Elephas maximus indicus: one gene and its partners. The main gene of each other region encodes a partner of the protein of the gene in region 2 in a complex. Links are inferred from orthologs where the notes say so. Each region holds a gene or a part of one and is shown on either strand. Other genes may lie near its edges. The genes, in order: ADM2, CALCRL and RAMP2.

Region 1 (3,745 bases), on a different chromosome or scaffold from region 2:
TTTGGCTGCCAGGCTACCCCAGCCACATGCTCTGTAGGCTTGAGCCTCGGAGCTCTAGGGTTTTTCCCCTGGTGAACCCCTGCTGTTCCTCTAGTCCCACCTAAACCACTCTTCTTCTGGACAGCCCTCCTTGATTGCCTTGCCATGCTCCCCATTACGGCCCTGACCACCTTCTGCTGCAATTCTAGTCAGTGACAGGGACCACAGAGACAGAGGGTGAGTCTCTGACCTCTCTAAAGTGGGGGTGAGAGTAGTGCCCACCTCACGGGGGGCTATGCGGACGAGGTGCTATGTGAGTGAAGCCCAGGTTCTCTGGGGTAGTGTGGGGTATCCGCAGGACTCTGACGACATGGGGCAGACACACACCAAGAACTGCACACGTGCTGGCTGCGGTCATTGTTCTTATTGCTATCATTTGAGGTCTCCCCAGGCTTGGCAGGGCTCAGGGGAGGGAGCCTGTTCAAGACCTGATGTTCCTTGCTGTCCCACTGAGTCTCCAGGGCCAGGGTCTGTGTCACCTGCTCAGTTCTATACTTGCTCAGCCACCTCTACCCCTTTGAGGTGGAAAGGGACTTTTATTTATCTATTTTGGGGGCCCCTCACCCCAGCCCAGCCCTGGGCTGGCATTGGATCCCCTGGCTCTGCTCCACTCTTCACCCCAGAATGGCCAGGGTAGTTCCAGAGCTCCTGTGTGGCCCCTTCCCCCCATCCCGACCTGGACCACAGCATGCCCCAGGCTGTCCAATCCTCTGCCCTTCAGCCCTGCCTGGGGGATGAGGTGGGAAAGGAGCAAGCTGAGACCTCTGGGAGGACTTGTCAAGAAGGGCTTCGATCCAACGCTGGAACCCATCAAGGAGGGGACGCATCTAGTCCACCCAGCCCCTCTCCTCTGGCCCTGGGTGTTCGGGACCCTGGCTTCTGCTCCATCTGCCAAGGCCCCTCCCCCCAAGTCCTGTTTTGCGCGGGTACAGGGAGGGGAGCACCGCCTGCCCCTTGGCGTGCACATGTGGGGGTGTGCAGGTCCCCTGGGTGAGGCCTGCCTGGTGTCCACATACACATGGGTTTACAGGTCCAGAACCACATTCAAGTGTGAGGGAGGTTGGGGTGTGGGGACAGGCTCCTCTGGTGCCTGCACCCCTTTCTGGGTGTCCGTTGTCTGCAGCTCTGGACGCAGTATTAGGCAGGGCAGGGGGGCTGTGGCTGGCCCACCTCAGCCGTAGCTGTGGGGGCTCCTGGGGTCGACAGGGGCCAAGTCCCGCTGACCGGCCTGCTCCACAATCTGCCACAGGCGGTGGCTGAGGTTCTGCACCTGGCAGGTCCCCAGCATACAGCCCACCCGCAGGAGCTGGGCTCGGGGTCTGCGGGGGCCTGGGTGACGGGAGCCCGAGTGTCTTCGGCCGTAGTTCTGAAGAGGTTGGCTCACAGCAGGGGCCAGGCTAGTGCCCTTCTGTGGCTGAGGGGCCTGGTGAGGCTTCCAGACCACAGGCTGGGGTGCAGGGCGCCGGGGATGCAGGCTGCTGGTATAAGTCCGGGCGGGAGGAACCCTGCGGGGTGGGGGAGGAGCAAACCGGATGGTCCAGCCATTTAGGGATTCCAAACCCACCCACTTCCCCTCCATGCAGGCCTGGGATCACTAGCAGGGGAAGCCCATGGCTTCCCCAATATGCCTGGACCACCTCCAGGGGAATCCCAGAGCCCCCACCCACACCCAGCCTGGGACACTGCCAGGGGAAGCCCACTATCTCTTTTAGGGCTCAGGGCCTGGGACCTGGCTGCTCAACCATCTCAGTGGCCCCAGGTCACATGCCCCATTAACCTGTGACTCCTCAGGCAAAGTGCCTCTGTGGGTCACTACACTCAGAGCCTGGGGTGACTCTCCTGGACCCATCCCTTGGAGTGGTGGGAGCTAGGCAGGCCTGGGGCTCCCTCCTGCACTCCCCCAGCAGATCCCTCCTTGTTGAGGAGGTCGGGGCAAGTGCCCTGTGGTGGGGAGCAAAAGATGCCTGTGGCTCAGGTGTTGGTGATGGCATGGGGCCTGGCCCTTGATGGGGGGTTCGCCAGACATCCTGGCTTCCTGCTACGACAGGGCCAGGGCTGGAGTTGGTCCCAGCCGCACTCACCTGAGTCGGGCGGAGCGCGGGCGCCCCCCTAGGCCGAGGGACAGCGCGCCAGGGAGCTGCAGGTACAGGAGGCTGACGCAGCCTAGGGTAACTGCCAGGAGCCGCGCCATGGCAGGCGGGAAGCAGGCGAGCTGGGCGGGTGGGGCGGCGTCGTGGGGCGCCGGCCCTGGCGTCGCGCCACCTCCTCCGCCGCACTTGGGGAGCCCTCCGCTGTCGGGGCGCCGGGTGGTGGCGGGGCAGGCTGGATCCTGGGGTCCTGCAGTCCCCGGGTCCTGCCGCCGAACAAGGCCGGACTCGGTCGGTGCGTCCGGGGCGCGGAGGACTGCAGGTCAGGAGTCACTCGGCCAGTTCGCAGTTCGGGATCTCTCCTGGGACGCCGCCGGCCCTCGGTACCGTCTAGAGAAAAATCGTCTTTCCAGGAGGAGGTGGAGCCGGCCGTCCACTGGGCGGGGCGCCCCTCCTCAGCCCCGCGCCTCCGGGGATGGAGTTCAGGGCTAAAAGCTGACGGTCCGGCTCCTCCGGTGTCGCCTGGCGGCACCTCCTTCCCCAGGAGCCCTGCCCGGAGCCTTGCCCCACCCCCTCCCCCCCAGAGCCCGGCTGAGCTCCGGAGATGGGGGGGGCCCGAATTGGGCGCCGAGCTCGCCATTCCATTCCCTACGGAGGCAACTTCCGGACCCCTCCTCAGAATCATCTAGGGGCTGTGTTCTAAAAATCTACCCATTTGCCCCCATTACCAACGGATGAAATTTTTTTTATAAGAAATTCAACTAAGTAAAAAGTGAGGATGGCCACCCATCGCCCCCGCTGTGGATTCTTCTGTGTGCCGGGGCGGGGGGGGGGGGGGGCAGAGCTTTCTGGTCTTCTGGTTTTGGAGAGGACTTCGTGTGTGCATTGCACACGGGCACATATATACAAAATACGTGTAAATACAGAGACCCCCATTGTTCCTGTAGGCTGGTCCGCTCCAACGTACTTGTGCTGTGACTCACTTAACGAATCCTAACCCGTCTTTTCTGGAGCTGGACCCCTGCTGTCCGGTCTGCCCTGACTGCTATCTTAGCGCACAAACGTGGCCCGTCCTCTTCCTGGAGGTGGACACACTGGGTGGCAGGCTGAGTCTGTGTCTTCTGTAAGCCTGCACCGTCTAACCCTCCACCAAGAGTGCATGGGCATCGCTTGTTCTTTGCTTTGTCAACCTGAGAGGTAGTGGCGACCTTGCTGCCCTTCAATAGACACCCCTTCGGTTAGCTCAGCTTCTCTTTGCCTCCTCTGCACCCCCTCTTCAGTCTTACCCTTGCCCTCAAGGCCCTCTATTAGGCTCATGGAAGACCTGGTCACCCTGGTCCCCTCCTGCGTTTCCTGCCAAGTCCCCCCTGTGGTGCGCATCAATAAACATTTGCCGGGTGAATGAATCAACAAGGGCTGCACACGTGCCCTACTGAAGAGCTTGTTCACCTCCCCTAATGGTGGAGAACCCTGGGCAGATCTTGTGTTTCTGTTTCTTTAGGTTCGTGGTGGGGGGTGGGGAGGGTGAGGTGATCAAATTTACCTTAGAAGGATGGAGCTGGCAGCCAGGAAGAAGCATGGGGCAGGGAGGCAAGTTCTTGGGATCGCTGCAGGAGGGG
Region 2 (3,745 bases):
AAGACTGTGTAATAATTTTCTTCCATGGATCCAGGCAATAAACACGAAAAGCAGCAGGAGCATGAACTTTAGAAACAAGCTATCCCTTCAGTGTATGCTCCTTTGTTAGTCTACAAGAGGTATTGGCACCTCTTTTTTCCTCCTAAAAAAAAAAAAAAAAACACTATTTCTCAGTGTTTGTGATCTCAGATTCACTAAGAACTGAATGATCATCACCAAGTCTTATTTATTTCCAAATTTATAAAACTGATTAATTCATAGTCTTAGTGACATTAGGGAGTTTATATATTATTTGATCTAGTGCTTCTATTTTACAGCTGAGAAAATTCAAGTCTGGGGAAATTAAGTGACCTTTGGTGCTGTGTAGGCTTCAGGAATCATAATGTAATTATCATTCCATCTTACACATTTACCATATCACCAAAAATGATAAATGTATTTCATATTTACAATGTTCTTCCCTGGTCCTTTTCAATGATTTATTAAAAACATTCAGGATGTGTTTTTGACATAAAGATGATCTTTTTGAGGTAAATTTTTTCAAAAAAATTAAAGTATGTTCCATATTTTACATTTTATATATATATGTAAATCTACATTTTCTTCAAGCCTACTTTGAGGTACAAATCTTATAAATTATTTTATCTTATAAGTGGTAACAAATATAAGTCAAATATTAAAAATACATGTAATTATTTAAAATTATTCACATACTCTTAAAAGGTTCTATATACACTTAAACATACAGTCTGAAAAAATATTATTGCACACACAAACACACGCAGGCTTTGTTTAAGACACATGCATAGACATATGCTTATAAACAACACAGAAGAACAAACAAAAGAAAACTACAGGGAAAGGTTTCTTGGTCTAATTGTGGAAAACTGACTGGAAGCAGCATCTGATTATCAGCAGTTCTAACTTAACAAGAATTGGATCACAGAATTAATTGTGATGAATGCTATTATTATTTTTCCATGGTCATTTATGAAGAAACACATTAGATGATTTTTTTTCCCCCTGGATGCTTTGTAAACTATAATCCAAAACACACACACACAGGTACACAGACACACACTCCTAACTCTTTTGATTTGTTGAGCAGAGTATTACATTCTGACTTCCTTCAAATCATAGCAAGCTCTGGTTGGCAAATTCTAACAGAACTCAGTCAAGGTGAAAGCCAGCCAGCCTTTGCTGGCAACAATGTATTCATGCAGCATATGATGTCTTTCTGTTCAGGCTGCTTCTTGCTCTTGTCTCAGAATAAGAGAGGAGCGCTGCTTTCCTAGGGTGTGCTATTTGAGAAAGAAAGTAACCTAACACTAACTGCAGGCGGGGTCGGAGTGATGTAACAGGAAGCTCTGATGTTTCCCTTCTACTGCTGATCTCTTACAATCTGACAACAGTTCCAATCTACTGAGAACAAACCCTCTCTCCCCAGCACAGTGTCACCTCCTGCTTTAGGATCACCAAGCTCTGCTAACTGGATCTCACTCTGCCTGCAGGATCACATTGCAAGGCTTTTACTCTTCCCCACCTTGTCTGGGGGGGAATCTCTTCCACGGAATCTCAGAAAATCAAATTCCATCCTAAGAAAATTTCACCAAGAATTCCTTTAGGAGCTGTGCTGGGTAAGTGCATTATTCAATTTGGGTATATTTATTTCAGGGAGCATTCTCATGTAGATTAACAATGTTTCTGCTATTCAATTTACTTAGTAACATTGCATTAGTGACATAGTGTTGAAACGTATTCTCATTTATTTCACATGTCAGGGGACTGTACAGTGTATTAGCTCAAAATGCACATTAAATCTATTAGTACTAAAAAAAAAGTTACTACTAGATACCGTTATTCACAATGGTAGTCTAGAAAATAGATTTCAGAAGTAATAAAAATCGAAATGGATTAAAGCGCATACTTCTGAGCAAATATCTTAATCAGGGAACAATGTTTTTTTTGTTTTTTGGTTTTTTTTTTAGCCTTATTATTAAAGTTTATTAAAGCTAAGCTTTAATCTTAACACCTGGGAAGCCTTGTAGTAGGTCCGCCCGACACCAGGGAAGGCTCTTTAAACTTTCCACAGAATCGCTATTCTAAAAAAGGGATGAAAGAATATCTACTTTTTGAGTCTCAGAGTCTCACTCTGTGGTTGAACACAATAGTTAGAAGGAAAGTAATAGCTTTGGATTCATTATTTTTGCCTTCTATTTGTCTTTCACCTCTATATACACATACATCTCTATTGAACTAATGGAATTTTCATTATTCATTGTTGCCAGATGAGTTTAAAACTCTCTTTTGATAACCCTGAACTGTTTTCACTATGTTGAATGATGGAGTGAACTTCAAAGAAAAACTTACAGCTAGGGTTGAGAAAACGTAGAGATTGTTATATTAATTCTTAATTTCAAAACTTTAGCTAATAGCATATGTTAGTTTAACTTGTCTAGAATCCCTCTGCCAGCTTTCGGGGGAGGGTGTGATAGATATCTGTGGCCAGAGAAACATAACAGGGGTTCCTGAAGAAGTATATCGGATCATTAAGCTGGAAACTAAAGTATGTATTTAAAAAAGAGGAAGAATTTCCAGGATATAACTTACTGAAATGTTGAGATGAAACATCTGCTAACGATCCTTCCAACAGTACAGACTGTCCTAGACAATTTAAGAAAGTTGTGTCTATTTAATAAACTGTGGATATAAAGATCACAGATTTCTTGCTAAGGAAATTCAATGTCAGATTTGGATTCAAATTATGTTGATTGACACAATGTCTAAATAATATATTTTCTTACCTAAGTGAAATTATATGAACTGTGCAGGACTTCCTTCAATGGGAGCATCCTGTACTTAGTCACCCATAATCTGGCATATTAATAGTTGTCTGGTTACTCATCCTGAATAACTCCTTGGTAATTCTCTACTGGGGATTCAATATAATGGAAACTTAAAATAATACTTAGATTTGTGACTCTTTAAAAATATTGTATTCGATATCCTATCCCCTTGCAAGCTTTAATTATACTGAGTTCCCTGACACATTTGTGGAAATAGGAAAAGGACTATAAAATGTGACTTTGTAAATAGCCATTAGATAATTGGGAGAGGAAATGGAAAGAACATATTTAGACACTTAACCCAATGTCATGGAATAGAATAAAAATAATTTTATTTTTAATTTAGATTCATTTTGTTAGAAAGATATATCAAGTTAATATATTTTTATAATGAAGAACCCCCCAGATTTATCAAATTTTTATTTAATTGCTAGCCAAAAACCCCATAATTTTCTTGCATAATTTAATTAGCTATTCATAACTATACCAATAGTATGGCTTATAATCTTGATTTTCAACTAATACTGTTGAAAAATACTAGGCAATGAACTCTGAGGGTGATTAGGCAAAAGTCCATTATTTGAGTAAATCACTAGAAGTTTAAATTAAAATTTTATATTATTATATTCTAAAATTAGGTTCATTTAATAATAGAATGTCAGAGTGCCTATGAATGCTTTCAGTCATTAAGAAATAAATTTACTTTCTAGATGATATTTCCATGTAGCATCATAAAACAAATGCATTGAGTCAGCGGCCAGTTCTAAATATGAAAACCAAAACATAGAATTGAAAAATTACACAAATAAGGTGAGCTGAAATATGTTTTACCTGACAAGTTCAATTGTGTAAAAGAAATATTGTTACAAGCTCTCCTTTTTTTCCTATTGTATCTTAGC
Region 3 (3,745 bases), on a different chromosome or scaffold from region 2:
AGAAGAGGAGTCTGTGATGAACCTAGGAGAAGAAGCCTCTGCCCTCAATTCTAAAGTGTTTATGGATGGACTCCTGTTGGTCAGGTCAGGATTCCTACTTACAGGCCTCAGGAGTAAACCGAGGCATGAAGAAGGGGAGAAGTCAGAGCTCCTGGGTAGCCCCCCTTCCTTCTTGCAGGAGTCAGAGCAGAGATTCTGCCCTCCCCCCATACCTTCCCAATCGCAGGCCCCCCAGCTGCTGTCCAGACCGGAAGGGAGTCTCTTCCTGCACGTTTCCTGGAGCTGGGTTTGGATAGGGGCAGGAAGGGCCCAACCCTGGGAGGAAGGAGTGTAGGGGTGTGGCCTTCAGGTGGGAGGGGCCAGTGGGGGGAGCAGGTGAAAAAAAGCAGTGGGATCATCCAGATTCTTCCAGTTCTGTTGACAAAAGCTGAGGGCCTGTGGGAGAGGCAGGGACTCTGGGAAGGATGCAGGCTACACTGGGATGGGGAAGGGGACAGTGCACACACAAAAAAGGTTTATTTTGAAGACCGCATTACAGAGTTTGTGCCTTGACCCCACCCAGCTTCCATTTTCACCAATTCCAGGACCTGCGGTTGGGGTGAGAGTGAGAGAAGGGGGTAGAGAGGGGAAGAAAGGGGGAAAGGCATTAAGGTCTGAGGTGGGGCTGTGGGGGCAGGGGAGAGGAGTAATATAGCCACTGAGAAGCTTGTGGACCCTAGGCCTGGGCCTCATTGTCTTTACTCTGCCACACCACAAGGGTGACAAGGAAGGGGATGAGGCAGATGGGTGCTATGATCATGGCCAGGAGCACATCCTCTGGGGGGTCGCAGAAGGTGGGCTTAAGCAGGGAGCAGTTGGCAAAGTGCATCTGGTGAGTCTTAAAGATGGCCCTCTCTGCCCAGGGGTTGGGGAAGCCCAGGCCAGACTCCTCGGCATAGTGCTCCAAGCAGTAACGAAGTAAGCTATAAGGACTGGGATGAGAGAGAACTCCAGTGAGGAAGGATTGGACCCACAGAGAGGTGTGCCCCACACTCACCCCAGGCCCATCTGAAGAACCAGACCAGGGAGCAGGCCCACCCTGGGCCAAGACACCCTCCAGCACTGCCCCTACCTTCTAATCATGGCCCAGTCACACCAATCCTTTTCGAGAGGGTCCATAAGCTTCTTATACTCTAGCCAGCAGTTTTGGACATATGTCTCATACTTCTGCACCATCTTCCCTGTGGACACAGATGCTGCATATTTACCACACCCTTACCCCCTCCCCCCCCCAACTCTGCTCAGGACAGCCTTGGAAAGTTTCCCAAGCAAGACACTTCTGGCTGAGGAGGCAGTTTAGGCTCAGGAATCATTTAATGCCTTCCACATGTGCAGCACTTCCCACCTGACAAGAGCTTCCCCATACACATTTTCATGGGGTCTTCTCACCCACCTGTGAGGTGGGCCAGCTCAGAGCTCGGCAGGGGCTTTGTGCGATGAGAGGGAGAAAGACCACAGGAAACTCCAAGAGAACAGAAGGGAGTTTAGTGGGGCACCAATTGGGGTTGGGGCCTGCCTTGCAGGAAAGAGATCCTTCTGATTCTCCTCCTTGCTCTAGGCCACCCTCCCACAGCATCTGGGCACCCACCTTCTGACCCCAAGCTGCCTGGGGTGGTTACAGGCTGTGCCAGGGACTCCTGGGGCTTCAAGACAGCTGTGGGCAGAAATGGGAGAGGGAGGTGGGATGGCGGGGATCTGGGCAGTGGAGCCTGGAGGGGAGGGGTTAGAGACTGAGCCCCTGGGAACTCAGGGCTACTCTCAGAAGACAAAGAAGGCTAATCCGGGCTCCTAATGAATGCCTCGGTGCCCAGGAGAGAAGAGGCCGGTACCAGCTCCTTCCCACTCACATCCAGGCTGCCAAAGCCCACTCCCTCCTTGCCAACCCCAAACCTCCCTTGAGACTTCTCCGCGGGGGCCCCGGAACCCCAGCTTTCTCCAAGTGGGAAGCATCCCGCGCTGTGCCCGCGCGGAGGTGGGCCCACGGACTGTTCGAAGGACAGCGCTTGCCGGTCTGTCTGTCTGTCCCCGCCCCCGGGGCCCCTTCCGGACTCGGCCGTCCAGCCCCCCACTCTCCGGGGCCTCCCGCCTGGGCCCGGGGCGCGCGCTCACCGCCCAGCAGGAGGAGGAGGCGGAGCGCGGCCGGCCGCCCGGCGCGGGTCGCTGGGAGCCGCGGGCGGCCGGCGGAGCTCTCCGTTCGAAGCGAGACCATGGCGCGACGAGAAGGCGAGGAGCGGCAGCGGCGCTGGACCGGCCCGGGCGGGGGCGCCTATATCCCCGGCCCGAGCCGCAGGAAGCCGCGCCGCTTCCTCGGAGGGGCTGGGACGGCCGCGGCCACGTGGGGGGCGGTGGCGAGGCCCGGGGCCGCGGGCTGGAGGGGGAGTCGTTGCGGCACCCCGCCCCTGGCGCCCGAGCTCCCTCCGCCTTGCCGGCGTCGCCCCCCTTTCTTCTAGTTACGCCGCAGGGCTGGACAGCTCCACGCGTAACTTCAGAACGCGGACCCTTTTCCTGGACTCTTCCGCTTGGAGACTTGGGCTCGCCAGGGTTTCCCAGCATCCGCTCCCCTGACTCTAATCGCCCTCTTTCTTTTGGGGCGAGGAGGTAGGGGGGCGCAAGCTGCCCTCCAGGACCTGAAGAAGAGGAAAGGGGGCTGGGAGCTCGGAGGGCCTCTCGACGTCGCATGGGCCGTGGGGGAAGGGGCGCCTGGAGCTCAAGAGTGGCTTTGCCCTGGGAACACCCACTGATGTCAGCCCGCCTGCTAACGCTGGGTAGAAGAGGGAGCCGGCCCTCCCGAATAGTGAGAAGGCCTGGGAATAGGGGGAGAGGGGAAACCGAAGTCCAAATACCCTCCCCTCAGGGCATCTCCTGGGACCTAGATCACAAACTGGGTTGGGGGGGTGGGAGGGGCAAAAGTAAGAGTCCTACATTTCCAGCAAAAAGGTGGTCGCAACTCTGCAAGACCAAGGTTGTGAGAAAGAAAGGGGGGAGGGGTTTAGACCTCATTTATGAGAAACTGAAACTCAGGGAAGGAGCACAGAACTTGAGGTCAGAAGCTCTGGGTCCTAATCCTACCTACCTACCCACTCCCCAGCTCTATTACCTTGATGATTCATTTATCTTTGGATCCTCAGTTTCCTTTAATGTAAAACAGGGACATTACCCTCCCCACCAAACTTTGATGAGGATGAAATATGTGAAAGGGTATTGCACTCACTCAACAGATGCTAATTTCCTTTTCTAAGTGATTTGCCTAAAGTCACACTACTAGTAAGCAGCAAAGTTGAGCTTGGGGCTTGGGGCCCCAGTGGGCCTGACTTCTGCTACACCACAGCTGCCTTTGTGTCCTGGGCCGGGGCTTCATTAGCCTGGAGCATCAGAGGAGCCCAGGAGCTGGGATGGCCATGGTGTTCAATTCCCAGACACAGCTGTCAGCACCCAACTTTACTAAATTACTTCCAGACACTCACCCTTGGACTCAGCTGCTGCTGTTGTCGCAGTTTGCTGATTCCTCCTCACCACAAATTATCTTTCTTCATCTCTCTGTCTTAAAATCTTCGTCTCAGGGTCTCAGGCTCTTGAAATGTGGCTGCTGAAAACCTGTTGTCTTCCTCCATAGCTGAGGTCAAGAGGATGCTTTAGTAAGGCATCCAGAAAGAGTGAGAATGTGGTCCACTTAGCATTAACCCCAAGCCCTCCTGTTGAGGGCCAT

The links.
Region 1: the proteins of CALCRL (region 2) and ADM2 are in contact, whole or in part, in a cryo-EM structure (PDB 6UVA), measured with the Homo sapiens proteins. The link is inferred for Elephas maximus indicus from reciprocal best matches to the Homo sapiens genes CALCRL and ADM2. Residues at the interface, in NP_001258680.1 of Homo sapiens: Val36, Thr37, Lys40, Asp70, Gly71, Trp72, Asp90, Tyr91, Phe92, Gln93, Asp94, Phe95, Asp96, Pro97, Ser98, His114, Ala116, Ser117, Thr120, Trp121, Thr122, Tyr124, Thr125, Asn128, Thr131, Lys134, Val135, Ala138, Leu139, Leu141; in NP_001240774.1 of Homo sapiens: Leu106, Arg107, Val108, Gly109, Cys110, Val111, Leu112, Gly113, Thr114, Cys115, Gln116, Val117, Gln118, Asn119, Leu120, Ser121, His122, Arg123, Leu124, Trp125, Gln126, Leu127, Met128, Gly129, Pro130, Ala131, Gly132, Arg133, Gln134, Asp135.
Region 3: the proteins of CALCRL (region 2) and RAMP2 are in contact, whole or in part, in a crystal structure (PDB 3AQF), measured with the Homo sapiens proteins. The link is inferred for Elephas maximus indicus from reciprocal best matches to the Homo sapiens genes CALCRL and RAMP2. Residues at the interface, in NP_001258680.1 of Homo sapiens: Arg38, Asn39, Ile41, Met42, Thr43, Gln45, Tyr46, Glu47, Tyr49, Gln50, Lys51, Ile52, Met53, Gln54, Trp69, Asp70, Gly71, Arg119; in NP_005845.2 of Homo sapiens: Trp86, Ile89, Tyr93, Ser94, Arg97, Leu109, Gly110, Pro112, Glu117, Ile120, Phe121, His124, Gln125, Phe128, Ala129, Cys131, Ser132, Leu133, Val134.

The regions. Positions count from the first base shown.
Region 1 is NC_064822.1:196,826,203-196,829,947, reverse strand, and holds the start of ADM2 (protein ADM2), read right to left. Parts: upstream 2,689-3,745; 5' UTR 2,231-2,688; coding exon 2,121-2,230; intron 1,545-2,120; coding exon 1,211-1,544; 3' UTR 1-1,210. UniProt on the Homo sapiens protein: Intermedin/ADM2 is a peptide hormone that plays a role as physiological regulator of gastrointestinal and cardiovascular bioactivities mediated by the CALCRL-RAMPs receptor complexes.
Region 2 is NC_064824.1:85,684,758-85,688,502, reverse strand, and holds the start of CALCRL (calcitonin gene-related peptide type 1 receptor), read left to right. Parts: upstream 1-1,239; 5' UTR 1,240-1,637; intron 1,638-3,745. UniProt on the Homo sapiens protein: G protein-coupled receptor which specificity is determined by its interaction with receptor-activity-modifying proteins (RAMPs). Together with RAMP1, form the receptor complex for calcitonin-gene-related peptides CALCA/CGRP1 and CALCB/CGRP2.
Region 3 is NC_064837.1:49,607,942-49,611,686, reverse strand, and holds RAMP2 (receptor activity-modifying protein 2), read right to left. Parts: upstream 2,346-3,745; 5' UTR 2,249-2,345; coding exon 2,149-2,248; intron 1,694-2,148; coding exon 1,628-1,693; intron 1,502-1,627; coding exon 1,433-1,501; intron 1,221-1,432; coding exon 1,112-1,220; intron 972-1,111; coding exon 716-971; 3' UTR 465-715; downstream 1-464. UniProt on the Homo sapiens protein: Accessory protein that interacts with and modulates the function of G-protein coupled receptors including calcitonin gene-related peptide type 1 receptor (CALCRL) and calcitonin receptor (CALCR). Required for the transport of CALCRL to the plasma membrane.